Schizosaccharomyces pombe: one gene and its partner. Each later gene encodes a partner of the first gene's protein in a complex. Each region holds a gene or a part of one and is shown in the gene's direction. Other genes may lie near its edges. The genes, in order: rkr1 and rqc2.

The links.
Region 2: rkr1 (region 1) and rqc2 share a complex: the UniProt entries of both Schizosaccharomyces pombe proteins name them as parts of the ribosome quality control complex.

Annotation. Positions count from the first base shown.
Region 1 is NC_003423.3:2,421,589-2,432,510, forward strand, and holds rkr1 (ubiquitin-protein ligase E3), read left to right. Parts: upstream 1-4,933; 5' UTR 4,934-4,978; coding exon 4,979-5,007; intron 5,008-5,196; coding exon 5,197-10,000; 3' UTR 10,001-10,134; downstream 10,135-10,922. Other genes in the region: BAR adaptor protein Hob1, read right to left, coding at 1-670; cysteine desulfurase Nfs1, read left to right, coding at 1,172-2,677; bdc1 (bromodomain-containing protein 1), read right to left, coding at 2,986-3,885; SPOM_SPBC21D10.08C (uncharacterized protein), read left to right, coding at 10,554-10,639, 10,690-10,922. UniProt on the Schizosaccharomyces pombe protein: E3 ubiquitin-protein ligase component of the ribosome quality control complex (RQC), a ribosome-associated complex that mediates ubiquitination and extraction of incompletely synthesized nascent chains for proteasomal degradation.
Region 2 is NC_003421.2:1,323,229-1,332,269, reverse strand, and holds rqc2 (ribosome quality control complex subunit Rqc2), read left to right. Parts: upstream 1-3,896; 5' UTR 3,897-3,962; coding exon 3,963-4,094; intron 4,095-4,139; coding exon 4,140-7,073; 3' UTR 7,074-7,213; downstream 7,214-9,041. Other genes in the region: SPOM_SPCC132.03 (uncharacterized protein), read right to left, coding at 61-284, 479-715; histone deacetylase, Sirtuin family, NAD-dependent Hst2, read right to left, coding at 2,050-2,592, 2,660-3,036, 3,094-3,172; prohibitin Phb2, read right to left, coding at 7,248-7,474, 7,524-7,592, 7,649-7,915, 8,123-8,426. UniProt on the Schizosaccharomyces pombe protein: Key component of the ribosome quality control complex (RQC), a ribosome-associated complex that mediates the extraction of incompletely synthesized nascent chains from stalled ribosomes as well as their ubiquitin-mediated proteasomal degradation.

The DNA of each region.
Region 1 (10,922 bases):
AAAATCCTTGGAATAAGGGAGCAATGAAGCTCTGAGCCAATGCAAATAGTTTAGGTAACTCCTCCTTCAGCATTTCATTATAATATTCATATTCTTGGGAAGATTGTTCAAAGGCGGTTTCAGCTTCATAAAGCTTCTTCTCATCTTTAAGGCTTTTATCCTTCTTTTCCTGAAGTTTCTTGAAAGATGAACGATGACGATCATAATCCAGCTGCTTATGATCGCGTTTCAACAAAAGCTTATCTACATCCTTAACAATCTTGAGCAGTTCACCAGTTGGATTGACAATGCGAGTGTTGATAACATCCATTTCAGAAGCCAAATTCTTTTGGAGATCGTATACAATTTCCTTGTAAGCCTCGGCAGCCTCAATACCTTCCGCATTGCCTTCTTGCTCATACGATTCAGGATCCGAAGCACGCCCACTAATAGGCTTGTAAATTTCAATACAAGCATCGGCAAATCCAATTTGATGATTCAATAACCCATTAATAGCATCAGTATACTTTTTGGCGTCTTCAGCCAGCTTTTTCGCTTCCGTTTCTAAAGACTTAAACCGTCTTCCAGCATCCTCATAAATAGGATCTTTGGTAATCTCTCCAACATTAAACTTGCTGCGTAGAGTCTGCGGCGTACGCGCAAGTGCCTTTGTAAACCCTTTCCAGCTCATCAAGTAATTCTGGTAGTTGGTATGTCTGACCCTTTCAAATTCCCTTAACCATCCTTCTCCGTATTCACGTAGCATACTTCGCAGCAATGCTGATCGTTTCCTGTAATTGTGCCGAATCGCAAATACAGTATACTACGCAACGTCTCGTTATTTTTATTTTTATTTTTATCTAGATGAGGTGAAAACATAGTAAATATAAGGCAAACATTTGATTTTAATTTGCTCGTCTCTATGCTCTTTATTACAGTTTTTATTCGATTGAACAGTGTCTCCGTCGTTTACGATGCAATGATAACATACTGATAATTGCGCAGCTCTACATGTATTGGGTCGAAGCTTAGTTTTGGTTGGTTTCAGATACGCCGCCAACCAAAATTTTTATTAGTCAGATCGCAAAATTTGAACTTAGCAACTGCCAAATTATTTTAAAAAGGACTTGTTTCTTGTTGTTTAGGAAATAAATAAAGAATTAGCAAAATTTCCTCTATTTTGGAAACAACCATGTCCAAAATGGGAAGTTTGATGCTTTCTAGAGCAAGATGCCTTCTTGAACTACGAAGTGCTTTATTTTTTGTCAAGCGAGAGAGTCAGGATATTAATAATGTTAGACAGAGTCTTGGAGTTTACGGTAGGTCGTTTATGACTTCCAGTCGTATGGACAAACCTTCAATGAGCAATAAACCTCGTGAACAAATGTACGGGCTAGGAAACATGACGGCGGTTCAAGAGCCCATACCGGAAAATTCTTTGAAAACAGTAACTTTGGATCAAGCACAAACCGCTGCTAGTACGGTTACGGGATTGCATCCTATATATATGGATTTTCAAGCTACCTCTCCTCTCGACTATCGTGTACTAGATAGTATGCTTCCCTTCTTCACTGGAATTTATGGAAACCCACATAGTCGAACACACGCCTATGGCTGGGAAGCAGAAAAAGCTGTTGAAAATGCACGCCAAGAGATAGCATCTGTAATCAATGCTGATCCAAGAGAAATTATTTTTACATCTGGCGCAACTGAATCAAATAATGCTATTTTGAAAGGTGTTGCCCGATTTTACAAAAGTAGGAAAAAGCATCTTGTTTCCGTTCAAACTGAGCACAAATGCGTTTTGGATTCCTTACGTGCTCTCCAAGAAGAAGGGTTTGAAGTTACTTTTCTACCTGTTCAAACTAATGGCCTTATTAATTTGGATGAATTACGTGACGCCATACGTCCTGATACTGTTTGTGTAAGTGTAATGGCCGTCAATAATGAAATTGGTGTTTGTCAACCACTAGAAGAGATTGGCAAAATTTGTCGACAGAAGAAGGTTTTCTTTCACTCAGATGCTGCTCAAGGATATGGAAAAATTGACATTGACGTCAATCGAATGAACATTGATTTAATGTCTATTTCTGCTCACAAAATTTACGGCCCTAAAGGAATTGGAGCCGCTTATGTTAGAAGACGTCCTCGTGTACGTTTAGAGCCGCTTATTAGTGGTGGAGGTCAGGAACGAGGTTTACGAAGTGGTACTCTTGCTCCATCTCAAGTAGTGGGATTTGGTACTGCGGCCCGTATATGCAAAGAAGAAATGAAGTATGATTATGCACATATTTCCAAACTATCCCAAAGATTAATAGATGGCCTTCTTGCAATCCCATATACATCTTTGAATGGCGACCCTAAATCTAGATATCCAGGTTGTGTCAACATTTCTTTCAATTATGTAGAAGGGGAATCGTTGCTTATGGGTTTGAAAAATATCGCGCTGTCTTCTGGTTCTGCCTGCACATCCGCATCTCTAGAACCGTCTTACGTTTTGCGTGCAATTGGTCAGAGTGATGAAAATGCTCACAGTTCTATTCGTTTTGGTATTGGCCGATTTACAACTGAAGCCGAAATTGATTATGCTATTGAAAATGTGAGTAGACAAGTTTCTTTCTTAAGGAATATGAGCCCGTTATGGGATTTGGTTCAGGAGGGTGTCGATCTTAGTACTATAGAATGGAGTCAACATTGAAGAACGCTTAATTTTACCTATTGAAGATTTTATTTTTTTTTTATATGAACGTATGGAAGTTGAAACTTTTTACCAGCTGTTATATAGTTACAAAAAACTAAATTGTAAATTATCTCATACTTGATTTGAATCTATACGAAATAAATACACGGTTATGATATAAAAAAAAACATAAATTTGATAAAAATAAAATATAGTACCATTTAAAAAATATGTACCCCCAAGTCGTCAAAATTATAGCCAAAAAATGATATGAATCCAAAGCATAAACAAAAAATGTTAAGGAATATAATTAAAATGTAAAACACTCATTGAGAACGGGTACTTGCCTGACGATAAATATCGAAAAGCTCTTCTGTGTAGCGAAAACATTCATCTCCCCATATGGACATGGCGTTGGCTGGATCGCTGCCATTGTACATTTTACAATTAGCAAAGATTCGAAGAACTTCTCGATACAATTCATCCACTTCCGTGATGTTACCCTCTTTGATCATATTCTTCAATGTTCGTAAGTCTTGAGGTTTATAAACTAAAGAATCGTAATCTGGTGCCTCTTTACGATTTACAGGATGACTAAAAGGTGCTCCAAACCTGTGATTAGAAATATTGTCGAGCATAGGAAGCATTGCACTTTGGAACTTTTTCAAAGACTGCTTTTCTTCATTAGACAGGGCAGCGCGCTTTTTTGGAGTCTTAGTTGTGGGTGCAACTTCGGGTTCGATATTTGCAGGAGCTGCAATCTCTGGTGTTTTCTTTCTAGAACGAAGAGATTTATTAGCAGCCTCTACAGGAGCTTCAGTTTTCGCTTTTTTTGCTTCCTTGTCAGCTTCTTCAAGTGCGAGTTGATCCTCCACAGCTTTTGCCTTTGCCTTTGCAACCTCTTCATATAAGCTTTCCAGTTTTTTTTCACATCCCTGTATCTCTTCAGCCAAATCCTTTAGGACATCGTTCCGCAGCCTTTTTCGTAGATTTTTTCGAGCATCATTATCGTTTTGAGAAACTTGGTTGGAGAGAAGCTTTGAATCAGATTTATTGCTATCATGCATCCATTCCTCGACCAGATCCTTTAATTGATCTTGTTCAATTGGCTCTAAAAGCAGGCTGCTTTCTGCCGTTCGATTGAAGAGTTCTTCGTTGGGAGCATTAGGATTTTCTTGCTGAATATCAAGATATTGTAAAACAGCAACCTCTTGAGCAATATTCATTATGCACTATACTTGCATCATCTCCACTAATTTTACAAGACAAGACACGGTAGAAAGGGAGTCCTTCTTTTCGTAGTGTACTACCTCCTTCATACGGCGTGCGCGTAAAACCTAAATTCTCGTTAGAGATTGCTGTAAAACTTCATTAACGCAACAATGCTAAATAATTTACGTTAGTTGCCAACCTTACACATGTTGCATATCTTAATAATTCAATGTCTTAGTTTGAAGACTTCTATAGAATTGCAGTTTGTCAAATTGTAATTGATTCCTATGATACCAGTGAATTATGTTCTATAAACCTTTTGCGTAAAATCTTTAAATTTTGCTGGATAGTCACATCATACTAACCAAGTTTCCAACGTTTTCTGTAACTAACGCAATATTGAACAGATCGCAATAAAAATCATCGTATTTTTACTGCATCCTTAAATTAGATAAGGTATTTTGTAGATGACACCGTTTGATAAGTTACTTTAAATAAGTTTTGCGATTGCAATTAAAGAATCTGATATGTAAGCTACGCAGTTTGGTATCTGATTTAAGGATACGTAGAACTGCGGTGAGTTTTCCTTGTGATCTATTATATTACAATACACAGGTTGTATAAGTAGCAACTGAGTATAGGTATTGTATTAACTGGGTTATAATGTTACCTATCACTAATATAGCTCATAACTGAACTGAGGAACGAGGTTCAGCAGTAGCTCTATTTATAGTATTCAGATAATATTGATCTTAATAGATTATCATTAAGATCAATCTCCATATCGTATCATACATGGTACGATATATAATTAGAACATGTGACATATAGTGATACGCAACGTAGTGTATCATAGCGTAGTGTAGTATTGCTGACATGATATACAGTTTAGCAAGCTACTTAATTCCTTTTCCGTCATCACAAATAGTTAAGCTTTAAAGTATCAGTTTATAAAGCATTGCATACCACAATGAATTGCTTAAAACAACGTTATCAATAACCTATGATAACGTCGGACAGACTGATATCTGATTTCCTTTGTAATTTTTCATTCTTTGTGCCAAATTGATCCGCTGCATTCCATTGCATTGTAAACTAAAAAAAAAGATGAAAAAAAAATCTACGGATTTATACGGGTAAGTAAAGATGTGAGAAGATGGTAACAAAATGGGTTTGCACACAAAATAGGGTCTTTCTCATTGGATATATGCAGAACACCTATGTTATTACAAATCCATACTTTTCCATATTTTGGGGAAGTTTGTTTAAAAATACAACGATTCTTTTTTCTTTATGTATGTGCCGAAATGCTAATCTCTTTATAGCCGTAAAAATCCCGGGATGCAATCGATGTCAGGATCGTTTTCATCCTTGCAAATTGCGTTGGATGAGTCCAGCTCAAATTTTAGTACGATATATGAGCCTCCAGACTTGTCTGGTTTAGACGCAGAAATGATTGTTATTGTGAAGAATTTGCAAAAGCGTGACATCGTAACGAAATGTCGAGCTTTACAAGATTTAATTCAGTGGAATGACCCATCACAGTTTGACAATGAACAGTTTCTAAATGCTTTGGCAGTTTTATTTCCTCGACTATCTATAGAAGTGGAACGACATGTGCGGTTAAAAATCTTTGTCTTCATGTCTGTTCTATCTTCTGCGCTTCAAAAAAAACTTGCACCATGGCTCAAATTCTATATCACACCTTGGGTTATGGGTTTTTTTGATTCAGATCGTGCAGTCTCTGTATCAGCAAAAGACTCTTTTAAAAATTTACTCTCCGAAGAAAAGTGGCCCCATGTTTGGCTGAAGTTTGGATCTACTATCGCACCTATAGTCACTGATGTTTTTTTACATGAAGACAAAGAATCGTTAACGGATTTGCGTTTTTTTTCAAATGAAGAAGCTGAATCGAAAGTTACCAGAGTTAAATCTAGCTGTCTTCTGACCCTTTCTTTTCTTTTCAAACAGACTGCCGATTTAGAAAATCTAGAGACAGATAAGAAGATAGATAAGCAAACCTTTAAGTCATCTCTTTACGAGAACTTGTCTACACTTTTCAAGTCTGACGAATTTTGGTCTTTGGTTTCCTCACCTCAGGATGGTGTCACAGTGAGCCTGAGCGATTTATTGCTCATTATCTTGAAGTATGATAAACCTTTTGTTACCCAATATAAAGAGAAATATTTTAAACGTGTTTCACGAATGATTTCACGACTAACTAGTTTGACCTGCGTCCCTATGCTTAGGCTTCTTAGTAACATGATTTCTAATTTCCCCAACGAGGTTCACCAATTTGCAAATGATTCAAAACGTCCTCTTTCAAAGTTGTTCTCAAATTTGATCACCAAGCGAATCAGCCTTCCTAATTCTGGGTTTTACACATCCTTGCTGAATTTGTTTAAAAGTATAGGCGCTATGCAGCTCGTTCCTTCCATTGAAAGTGTAGACGAATTGTGTGATGCATTCTTAGAAACTGCAAATCAAGAACAACGTTTCCTATCTACTGAAGTTTATGACTGTTTACTCAATTTCTTGTCATTTGTTTATACCGATTCTTCCGATCCTCAAATTAAGGATCATGTCCGTGACCGTTTAAGGACTATATTTACCAGGTATTTTAAAGGTGAATTTGTTCTACGCTGTTCAACGTCTGATTTCGATCATTGCTTGCAAAGTGTATTCGATAAAAATTCAGATTTCGCCTCGCTCTGGAACGAAGTGTTATTTGGTTTCTTTAATGATGAATCTATGGACATTGAAACTATCCCATTTGATTCTTTATCACGTAACTTAAGCTTAACCGTTCAAACAGTTTTATATCTTAAAAATAGAAATTTTCAAACTGGAAATGAAGTCATGTCGATTCTGGGACCTTGTTTGTCATTTTTAATGAAATTGTCTACCCACAAAAATGAACGTATTGCATGTTTATCGGCATCCCAGTTAATAACTGTTTGTCACATATTCAGTGATACTACATTGATTAAACCCGTTAAGGAACTTTTTCAAAAATATTTGGTGAATGATTTGCCTTCTTCGATTTTAAAGCTTGGGCCTCAATCTCCAGCCTTTACTTTGCTTCGTGATATTCTTTTACTTCTTAAAGATTACGCGGATCTCTCTGAGCCTTGGGAAAATGTTGCTAATCAATTCACAGTGTCCTTTGATGAACTGGAAAATATTAGGGTTTTAAATAGTCTTCCCTCTTTGTTTGCTGATGGAAAACTAAGGGGGAAAATTTCCTTGGTAAAAACATTAGTAGAATACTATGATACAGCAGTATTTGCTATTATGCAAAACCCAGGAAACGATTGGGATATGATAAGAGCGTGCATTGGGTCTAAGGAAATCCTTGTTCCAGAAGAAACGATTAAAAATATTTTGTTTACGACCTTGGAGTATTTTCTTACGAATGATTGGGTTGATAATCATTTGATTATTTTGTGCGCATCATTGCATTCTCTGAAAGCTCATCTTCCAACAATATTTGATGAAAATAAATCCTTGTATTCTTTGCTTCCTGTGATCCTTTTCAGTAAACCAGAAGATGATGGCCATGTTGCAGCTCATTTTGAAAGTATCTTCTCCCTATTGAAAGAGAAAGCATTAGAAGATTCCGGTTTTTCTCTTAAACTATGTTCAGAAGTGCAGGAATGGTCATTGAATAAGGTTTTGAATGGTTCTATAAATGAAAAGTTAGCTGCTGATAAGTGTGTTCTTGTTTTCAATTCGTTTGGAAAACTCCCTTCAAACTTCTTTACGTTTCCTGCCTCTTTTTGGGATGCAAAAATATCCTCTTGCATTCCTTTTTTCTCTAACAAGTTGTTCATTGACCAAGATTTTATTCTCGGATTTCTAGATTTAGTTGCCTCAGAGCCCATAAATGTTGATATGACAGACGTAGGTACTCAATTTGTGCATATATTCCATGCCTCCTTATACACTTTATATTATGTTGAAACTACCGGATGCGACGGTGATGCTTTATTTAACCTTACGTTTGCTTATTTGTTAATACGAATTTATTTACAAAATGGCATACAAAGCATAATTGATGTTCCCATCCGAGATGCTGGAATATTTGTGGAATCTTTTGAATGCTACTTCAAAGGTGAAGTGGTTAAATTTATGCGCGATAAGGATGCTTTGACAGTATTAAATGAGCTTTTAATTGATGATATAGATGGGAAAATGCCTGTATTGTTTAAAAGATTTAAAAATTTGTCATCTGCAGAGAATACTACTTCTTTTTCTATATTTGCCGCTCAAGGGTTAACAGATTTTTTGATTGTTGTCTCAAATTTGTTAGAAATGGATGAGAAACACGTTGATGTTGTTTTAGGAAAGCTGGGCTTGAGCTCTTCAAAATCCCCTATTTTCGTATCTTCTATTTTAGAAGGATTGAAGCCATTAGAAGTAGATTCTGAAATTATTCAACGAATTCGTTTTAAAGCAGTAAACGATCTAACAGGTAAACTTCACTCTGCTAATGAAGTTTCTAAGTCTCTGTTGATTTTGAATGCGGCTACCACTCAACAGATTACTGAGAAGCCCCTTCTTCCTATCACAAGATGCAGACTTTTTTTGGAAAATATTACCAATTGGTGTTCTGAAAGTGGAATTAAATCTTTAGAGCTATTACCTGTTTGTTGCTTTCTTCGTTTCATGTACTATTTTTTACCCACTGTTTTTTCGTTATCTGGTTCTTATTGGAATAGCATTTTCGATTATATTAAATATGCTATGAAGATGTCTGTAGTGGATGCCCCAATAGTAAAATCGTTTGAACTATTTGCTCTTCGACTTTATAATGCTTTATCCAAGAACTATGAAATGAACTCTGATATTAAAGATTGTATTGTTGAGTCTAATGAATCCATGAATTATCTTTTGTTGAAACGATTTCTCTTTACTCACGAATCTACCCTGAGAAACTCGGTAACCGCACGTATGTGTAACCAATATTTGGTGAAGCTTTTAGAAAACTGTCCAGGGAAGGTTGTTCGCAGTTTTCAATATCAAGAGTTTTTTCCATCGTTGTGTAACTCGAATGATTTGCAAATGGAGTCTGTTTGTATGAAATTTTTACGCGAAAAATTAAGTCATGAGCTTAAGGAACTTACTGTTTACTACATGGTTGAAAGTGATTACGAACCTGATGTTTCATTATGCCCAGAACTTCTATCTCTCGCTATTGATTTTCCTGGAGATCCGTTTGTAATGGTAAGCAAAATGGAGAAATATGAACATGCGTTGCGTGTGTATCTTTTAGTTTGGGATCTTATCTTTTATCATTTTGAGGAAACCACTTACAATATAAAGCTGTCAATTATTAACCAACTTCATGCTATGGATTTATTACGTCCTTTGCTTAATACTTTAGTTGAAATTCTTAATTTATCATATGACAGGCCAATTAACGTTGATAAGTATCCCAAAATTGATTACAACCTTATGGATTATTCCTCTGCTACAGATCGTATTCGATGTCTTGCAATTCATATCTATTATCAATGTCTTAGACATCTTTCTTCTTCTGTTAGAAGTTATTGGTCTGAAGTTAAGAATAGAGCCTTCACTTCTACTGTTGAATCGTTTACAGGGTACAATGTTTCCCCGCTGTTGATTTCTGCTTCCTTAGACGATGTGGAGAGATCAATTGAATCCGAAGATTTTCAATCTGTTGGTGATGTTAATGTGAAAGTTAACAGAAACACCAGAGAGATATCTTTCATCTATAATGTTGATGAGCACAAACTGGAAATGGCCATCAAAATTCCCTCTGTATATCCCCTACAAAATGTTCAAGTAGAAGGAATAGAAAGAGTCGGTGTTAACGAACGACAATGGCGCTCATGGATTTTGGCTTCTCAAAGTATCTTATCATCGCAAAATGGCTCTATCACTGATGCGTTACTAGTTTTGAAGAAGAATATATCCATGCACTTTGAAGGCGTTGAAGAATGTGCTATTTGCTATTCTGTCTTGTCTGTGGAGCGTACTTTGCCAAATAAACGATGTGGAACATGTAGGCACAAATTCCACGCATCATGTTTATACAAATGGTTCAAATCTTCAAATTCAAGCCGCTGTCCACTGTGCCGCAGCAGCTTTACATTTGTTTAGGCACTTTAAAAAAAAATTGGTATTTTAATGGTGTGATATCTTTGGTTCTTTTTTTTTATGATACATTATAATGAAGTTTAGTGTTATTTAGTTACTAGTGAATGAATGTGTCTGTTTTGTTTTGATCGTTAAAAGTTTATACGAGTTTAGTGTTTGTTTGTATGCAAAGTCGATTACCTGATTTGAGTTTTATTGTAGCTAAAGTCGAAAATTTAAATGTCCATTGCTTGAATAGAATGTGAAAATGAGAACTTTAATAACGACTGAAGTAAACAAATAATTTCTCAATAAAATTCCATATAACTGATTTAAAAAATGTAAGTTATTTAAGATATTTAAAGAAACTTATAGTATAACAAGGTTTTTGTTATTGTTTGTGTTTGGTAGATTAGTGTACGCAATGATTCGAGTGTTTACTTGCTAGGAGCTATAAGAATAAACAGCTAGTAAAAAACCGATATCATTTGTTATGACACAACAACTACACCTGGTTTGTTTTAAACTTTTATTCAAGACGAATCCTACTAGAACAACGCACATTAATAACAGTAAAATGAGCAACGTGGAACAACCGTTTATGCAAGGAATAGATGATGGGTGGAATTTAAAAAACTACCTAAACATTCAATCCACATCTCTGTAAGCATTGCAAACTTTAATTACTAGAGAGAATATACTAACCTGCAAAGTTGTTTAGATAAACTTTGCAATATCTATACTCAAGGTCAAGATGAGAATGAGGATGCAAAAGAATTGCAAGCCATCAAAATCAAAATAGAGTGGTGTAAAGATACAAGCGTTTTGCTTTCCTCTATATGTGTGATGCTCCTTGATTCAATCCACGATTTTCTAGTACAACAAGGAAAGATCACTAAAGAATCAATAAGCAAAAGAGATTATAGTCATGAAATTACAATTTTTA
Region 2 (9,041 bases), on another chromosome or scaffold:
TGTTAATACAGATGGAAATTTTACTACATTGAACCTCTCATATATGATATGTTTACGTACAAAGATAGATTGGTGTCAATTTCCAATTTTCTCATAGTTCTTCTTTTCTTATTTTTTGCAAGTAGCTCCAACAACTTCTTTTTCATTTTTTTCTCGGAAATGCTCCAACCCATCTTTAATAATGTATTGTGCACAGATCGTAGAACTGGCTCAGGAGGGGCCCATAAACATATAGGGCCCATGGGAGTACAGGTTATGGGTTTTTGAAGTTCATTCTCATAGCACTAACAGAAATAGTTGATTAGTAAATTGGGTTATTTTGTAATGTTTTTGCATAACGAAGGGATCTTTGTAAATCGAATTGAGAGATTTAACATGTTTTCACCTCAAAATTCGCCACTTTTAATTGTGCAAAAAAGGAGGGATGCAGCCAAGTTTGCTTCTCCTTCCTTAATTCTTTTCAGCATCTTTGTCATACCATTAGCAAAATGGATTCTTGTTGTTCTGACCAGTCGTCTAAGTTCAAATCATCTATTGATTCAATGCAATCTTTTTTCAATCCTACGCCATTTGAAACGTGTGAGTCATTTTCCTTAAAGACAAAATTTAATGGTGTCTTAGGAGGCATGCTTCCATTTAAACAACGAAACGGCATTGTGTCGTAAGCATCAGTCAAATCCTCAGGACCGGTGATCCTCAATCGCTTGGGGTTCATTGTTATAATGTGTAAATTTCCAATTCTTTTGTTCAGAGGATCCTCAACGAAAGGAATCAAGATAAAGATTACAAATGAACTTTTATTAACTACTGTAAAAAAGTGAGTAGTTCTTAAAATGATAAGAATTGATCAATTGCAACGATAACACGATTTATCATTCCCTTTTATTTTTAAATTCTTTCCAGACCGCTTAACACGCCTGTATAAAAAGATGGCAAAACAAAGAAATTGAGACCTAAGATCCCTATTGACGTCAAATCTAAAAACGTTAATTATAAATCATATATCTGGCTTTCGAACAATTATTTATTTGCTAAGCATTCATATAGATCAAATTCATGAATCTTGTATAGCTAGGTAGAAGGAAGCGTTAGAATCGGTAAATTCTTAGCAAACCGAACAGGAGGTGACAGCCATGTAGTCAGTAATTCGTACAACTCATAAGTTACCCAAAGGTACATAGATATATGCAGATAAAATAGATATAAATTTAATAATTGTTCTAAAATTAACTGATAATTGTTCAAGCGCTTAGATACTTGTTTTCTGTAATATGAATTATGTCTTTACATCTCTAGTTCATTTTATGAACAATAATGACCACAAGAACAAAATTCAAATCAGAACTGGTTATGATGATGGACTAACTGGTTTATACACCGTCCCCTGTTACAATATACAATTCGTAGAAAACGCTTTAGTTTTTCAAAGGAAGCATTATTCTTGAATGAAACTACAAAAAGAACAATTTGATTAATTATTCCTATTTCCAATTCTTGGATAATTCAAAGTTTTATTAAATGAAAATGAATAATCTCCCATTTCAGAACTATATGTTCCAAACTGAACAGAAAAAAGGTTTCGACAAAGATTGTATTAGATTACAGTGCAGTAAATTTGAAACCATTATCAATTATTCTAGCGCAACTTTCTCATAACCCAAATTGCGTATATAGATGGACGCCAATTTTAAAAAAAATGCAAGTTATTTTCACGAAAATGCGAGGGCATCTTCATGAGTTTGATCGAGATCGTATACAGAACCCCCTTTTTGTTATCCTTTTCGCATTAGTTTAACCCAGCATACAACTCATAAAGAGAGCAATATGATTCATGGTTAAGAGGCAATCAAAAGGACGCCTGGAAGGAAATATTATAAAATTGCTGAAATAAAAAAAAGTATTTAAACTTGTTTAAAAGAAAACGAATCGTATGTGTAGATTCAAATATTCATCAAACCGAATCGTGAATTTCCGTTTTCTTAGTATAATAAATATAGGGATCTCCTAGTTTTAATCATGACAATATAGAAAATTTCCCGAATAACTGAACTATTCATCATCAGAAACTAACAGCGTCACCTCGTCTTTTTTCTTCTCCTCTATTTTAGTGAAAGGATTGACCGAGTTATCGTCTTTCTTTTGTTCAGAGGCATTCTTTTCTATTGTAGAGTCAACAGAAAGTAAAGATATTTCTTCTGTCAGCGTTTCAACACTCGTATCAATCAACTTTTCCAATTCATCAGACCATCCTAATAGTTTACATAACGCACGTACTTGGGAATCACAATCCCCCAATATCATGATATCCTTTTTTCTCTCCCCAAAGTCGCCAGCTGGTTCTCGATTAATCAAAACTCGTTGACATTTATTTGGCACTATTTCAGGCAAATCCGCGAATGGATGAACAAGTAAACTTGTTCCAATTACCAGTGCCATATCACAGACTTTTGTGTCCTTTTCCATGTGCTCGAAGAAACGCATTGGTAATCCCTCGCCATAAAACACAATCATTGGTTTGATGAGACCTTTGCAACTGTTGCATTTAGGGACCTGTTTTTGCATAATACATGCTCTAACATACTCCGTTTCCGCCTTTGTTTTCCGTCAGTAAAACCAATTTCTGCTTTTTCACTTTAACTTTTTCAAAAACAATCCTTACCATTTCGTAACATTCAATACAGCGGCTGTATTGGAAAGAGCCATGTGCTTCAATCAGAGCTTTGTCAGGCACACCTGCCAAACGCTCCAAGGTATCAATATTTTGGGTATAACATTTTTGTAGTAACCTTTTATCATGTAAAAGGCGTATAAAATAATGAGTATAAGTTGGTCTATACTTTTCAGGCATCAATTCGTGAGCCAATTCGTAGAATGGACGCGGATTTTTTCGAAAATAAGATAGATCAAAAACAGCTTCTGCGTAAGGAAGATTAAATCTTTGTAAATTATTGTAAATTCCAGTCTCAGGGCTTCGAAAATCAGGGATTCCTGCTGCAGTGCTGATCCCTGCACCAACCATAACACATATTTTCTTTACTATTTTCGATAAAATCGCATTAGTATGGTCAAGGAAAGAAAATTAAAAGTCATTACCTTTTCCTTCTTTGATTAAGGATGCAACTTTCTCTAAATGCTTGGAAGAGTCGACGTGTTTAACAGTGTTTTTCACCATTGTCGAATTTCTGAGAACAACCAAAGCAAGCCAATAATCGATTTACCTTAAAAATCCCAACTCAAACTCTTTCAAAAATTGGATCACTTAAAATTCTCAGATATGAACAAATCAATATGTTAATGCACAAAGTTTGTGGGTACGCCAAATTTCCATTATTATTTACTCGTTGAAAATATCAAACGCCATTACCGATGCTCCATTAAACTGCATTATACTGTTTAAAAGGCTATTGTATTCGACTTTAGTACTCGTTATTTGGTAAACATTTAGAGCCATCTTTTTCAATTAAGAGTTTCTGGATGTCGTTGAAAAAATGAGATACGGGGTAATCAGAAATTATGATTAATCAACTTTCGGCTCACTTGATTAGATTCAGCAACGATAACTCTTGACTTTCTGGTTTTACTTATTGGGTTGGTCACACCAGTTTGACATATTAGGTGTCAAAGTTTTTTATAAGTTTATCATTAGTTAACTATTTTTTATCTTTATAATCAGTGTCATGTACGACTATAAATGTACGATTAAAGAATCATCGTCGGGAAAGAAATAATGAATTTGAGAGAACAATCCAAATTTGCGCTAAGAATTTTAATGCTGCTAATGTACACCGTTTTATGGTGCAATGGTGTGCTATAATTTTCCTTATTACATATTGCGGATATCATTGCGCTTTGTTAGTGCTTCAGTTTCACTTACGTTATACACATGTTTACATTCTAACTAGAGCCTATACTTCATTTTGTTGTAACGCAGAAATTCATTTAGATAGGTGTTATAGACGTAAATGAAGCAAAGATTTTCCGCTTTAGATATTGCTGCGATTGCTGCGGAATTACGAGAACAAGTGGTTGGGTGTCGCTTGAATAACTTTTATGATCTAAATGCGCGTACCTTCTTGTTGAAGTTTGGTAAACAAGTATGTGTAGAAAGTAATAAATATTTTTTTACTAACCCGTTAAAGGATGCAAAATATTCTATTGTTATTGAAAGTGGGTTTCGTGCTCATTTAACAAAATTTGATCGAGAAAATGCCCCTTTGTCTGGGTTTGTAACGAAGCTACGAAAACATATAAAATCTAGAAGGTTAACTGGTGTCTCTCAGTTGGGTACTGATCGAGTACTCGTTTTCACATTTGGAGGTGGTGCGAATGATCAAGACCCCGATTGGACGTACTATCTGGTTTGTGAATTTTTCGCTGCTGGAAATGTTTTACTATTAGACGGCCATTACAAGATTCTGTCTCTTTTACGAGTGGTCACCTTCGATAAAGACCAAGTTTATGCCGTAGGGCAAAAGTACAATTTAGACAAAAATAATCTCGTTAATGACAATAAATCTCAGTCTACTATTCCTCATATGACAGCTGAACGATTAAATATCCTTTTGGATGAAATAAGCACTGCTTATGCTTCTCCTACTTCTATTAACGAACCTTTACCTGACCAACAACTATCCTCTTCTACAAAGCCGATTAAAGTACCCAAACCAGTTTCTCTTAGAAAAGCATTGACTATAAGATTAGGTGAATATGGTAATGCACTTATAGAGCACTGTCTTCGGCGTTCAAAATTAGATCCACTATTCCCTGCTTGCCAGCTCTGTGCAGACGAAACCAAGAAAAACGATTTATTAGCTGCTTTTCAAGAAGCCGACTCCATATTAGCTGCAGTTAATAAGCCCCCAGTAAAGGGTTATATATTTTCACTGGAGCAAGCACTAACAAATGCTGCTGATCCTCAACACCCTGAAGAATGTACTACATTATACGAAGATTTTCACCCTTTTCAGCCTTTACAGCTCGTTCAGGCAAACAGAAAGTGCATGGAGTTTCCAACCTATAACGAATGCGTTGACGAGTTTTTCTCTTCTATCGAAGCACAAAAGCTAAAAAAACGAGCACATGATCGCCTAGCGACAGCTGAGCGAAGGCTTGAATCGGCTAAAGAGGATCAAGCACGAAAACTTCAAAGTTTACAAGATGCCCAAGCTACTTGTGCGTTGAGGGCTCAGGCAATTGAGATGAACCCTGAACTTGTTGAGGCTATTATCTCATACATTAACTCTCTGTTGAACCAAGGAATGGATTGGTTAGATATTGAAAAGTTAATTCAATCTCAAAAAAGAAGAAGTCCGGTAGCTGCTGCTATTCAAATTCCCCTTAAACTTATAAAAAACGCCGTTACCGTTTTTCTTCCTAATCCAGAGTCTGTAGATAATTCTGATGAAAGTTCAGAAACCAGCGATGATGATTTGGATGATTCTGATGATGATAATAAAGTGAAGGAAGGAAAAGTTTCGTCAAAGTTTATTGCCGTTGAATTGGATTTATCTCTTGGCGCCTTTGCAAATGCGCGTAAACAGTATGAATTACGTCGAGAAGCTTTAATTAAAGAAACAAAGACTGCGGAGGCAGCCTCAAAAGCCCTGAAAAGCACCCAACGCAAGATTGAACAGGATTTGAAGCGCTCTACTACTGCAGATACACAACGTATTCTCCTTGGTAGAAAGACATTCTTTTTTGAAAAGTTTCATTGGTTTATTTCTTCGGAAGGTTATCTAGTTCTGGGAGGCCGTGATGCCCAGCAAAATGAATTACTTTTCCAAAAGTATTGCAACACAGGTGATATCTTTGTTTGTGCAGATTTGCCAAAGTCTTCGATAATTATTGTAAAAAACAAAAATCCTCATGATCCTATTCCCCCTAATACTCTACAACAAGCTGGATCCTTGGCTTTGGCTTCATCTAAAGCATGGGATTCAAAGACCGTAATCAGTGCATGGTGGGTTCGAATTGATGAGGTATCGAAACTTGCTCCAACAGGTGAAATTCTTCCAACAGGAAGTTTTGCTATTCGGGCCAAAAAAAACTATTTACCTCCTACTGTCCTCATTATGGGATATGGAATATTATGGCAGTTAGATGAAAAAAGTTCTGAGCGTCGCAAAGCTAGAAGGTTAGAAATGGAGGTTGTTGAAACTCAAGGAAAGGTGTCGGAACTTAAAATGGAAGGTACTTCGGTAACTTCTGAAGATAACATTCAAGATGTTGTGTCTGAAGTCAGTTACAATGAGGACACCAACAATCAAAGTACTCCTGATACCACTGGTTCAGACATCCATATTGTCAGCGAAAAGCGTGGTAAAAAAGGTTCTAAAGTTATAACAGCTAAGAAAGTATCTGCCAAAGAAAGGCGTGAAGCACGTCGCGCTAGAAGGCAAACTGCTTTGGAGGAATCTCTTAAAGCACCTATTTCAATAGAGGATGCTACAGACCCACAAACTATTTTGGCAATTTTAAAACAAAAAAAGGCTAAGAAGAAGCATGCGGCTCGAGAAATGGAAATTTCGTCTCAAATTCCTTCTAATGATTCATCAAACGTTCAAACACCCACTGCCGAATCAGAGATTGAAGAAGATGGCGTCTCCGAGCCCATTAGTGCAGAAGTAATTGAAGACCAAAGTCGTAACAGTGAAGCTGAGAATGAAAAAGGTTTGTCTACTGAACAGAGAGACGAAAAAAAGCATGCGAAGGTTGAAAGTTTTCAAAGACAAGAGATGCCGAGGAGTTTATTCGAAGAAATATTTTTTGCAATTGATTCTTTAACCCCTAATCCTCAACAGCAGGATACTGTGATAAACGCTGTTCCGACATTTGCCCCATACAATGCTATGACTAAATTTAACCAGAAGGTAAAAGTCATGCCTGGAACTGGAAAAGTTGGGAAAGCGGCAAGGGAATCAATCGCCTACTTCATGAAAAAACTTCCCAAGTCATCAAAAGAAGCTGCTTATCTTGAAAACCTTAAAGACGGTGAAATTGTTGCTCCTATAAGTGTGAGTCGTTTAAAGATGGTTTTTGGATCTAGCGGTAATACCAAAAAGTCAAAGAAATGAAAATATTTATTTGAGATTAATAGTTGGAGCTACTTCACTGTTTGATTTTGTTTTTGTTTTTGTTTTTTTAAACAGAAATTGAAGAAATCAGCGAATATTATGGTTTTCAAAGAGAATTTTGTATCAAAAAGTTAAATTTGTTTATTAATAAAATGACAATTCCTACATTAGACTTCATTTAATATCATCTAAAAGTAATGTGCTGGCATTAAGCATGACCTTGTTATTGCTCTTTGAAAGAATGTTTGCAATTTCACGAGCAGTTTCAAGCTTTCTTAACTCGATGAAACCAGGCTTATTTTTAATAGCTTCACCAATTAGTTGCGCTGCTCTACCTTCACCTTGAGCACGAACAATAAAGCCCTGTTTTTCCATTCGAGCACGATCGACATAGAAAGTAGCTAAAAAATTATTGTTAATATTGAATTTGTACGAAGAGCTGAACCATACCTCTTTGAGCATCTTGCTGGGCAATTTGCTTGGCCTCTACAGCGGCTGTAAATTCAGGAGAGAATTGAACTATTGGATGCAGTTAGTATTTTAAGGTACAAACGCTTGACTAATGTTAGTCATACCATGAGTAAGTGAGACATCATCAAGCAAAATATTGAATCGGGCTGCTCTCTTCATTAAATTCTCGCGAACCAACCTAGATACACGTTCACGCTGGGTGATCAACTGGCTTGCATTAAATTGAGCTACAACGCTTTTTAAGACTTCATTAACAATAGAGGGCAAAACACGTTCATCATAATCACCACCTAAAGTACGATAAATTTTTGGCAAAGCATGAACATCGGGACGAGACAAAACACGACAATTAATGTTCACCATTTGTAAATCTAAAGAAAAATGGTTAACATATTTCTAGTAATACAACCAACAAAAACCCCTCAAAGCTTAGCTATTCGAGAAGAGTAGAATCCATAAACACAATTCATCACTTTGCAACTAAAAGCTTAATTCACAGTAGGTATAAAAACCAAATGAATGTTTCTTACAGTCACCTTTAGTTATGTACGCTCAACGTTTTAATTCTTGTAACCTACCTTTCGTTCCGGTTAGAGAAGATATATTTCGTGGTTTAGCACGAACATCGTAATCAATGGCCGTTTCGATCCAAGGAATCAAGAAGTGGGTTCCTTCAGGATATATAAGGTTTTTAATTCCTCCAATCCTGCTATACTTAATAGCTCGGTGACCACCATCAACGTTAAAAAGAGAAGTCTGCACAGCAAATCCTGCAAGGCCAAGAGCTAACAACAAACCAGTTCCTGTAAAAGCATATTTTCCTTTAGGAAGTCCCCGCTTCATCAAATCATTCATCTGCTGGAACGGTCTTTGACGATTCATACTGAAAAGCTGTATACGGGAAAGAAAGACTTGTAAAATGAATACGTATAAGTAAGCATTTAAAATGGCACTTCAGTATACCTTATCCATTTTATCGTATTGTATCATAGTACGGTATTTGAGTTGGATTAATGTTGTTTTATATGCAAAAAAAAAACAAATAACTCGATAGTTTTTTTCATAATTTTCTTTTATTTTATTGATATTATAATATAAAATTAGCAGGAATTGAATACTGCTATTTTTATCGCTTTGTAGTGTGCAGCCTTGATAGAAAATGTGAGGTGCGTCGTTTTATTTCGCGAACAAGTTGAAACTTACTAAACTTCATTCATTATATGATTTATATTTTTTTTCTAATTACAAACAAAAAGGTATTGACGTTTTAATTTTAAAACTTGCTTTTTCAATAAACGGTGAACGATGTGCATTTAAAATCTAAACAAAAATATTTTTTCCCATACCTGTTATTTTGTTTTATTTTTTGAAACAAAAAAAACTGTAATTAATCAACTGTCTGATAAATAAACGAAGAAAAGCCATCGGGGACTCAAAAATATAAGTTATCAATTACATTTGCATTGTACGTTTAACAGCATTCTATGATTGAATTTT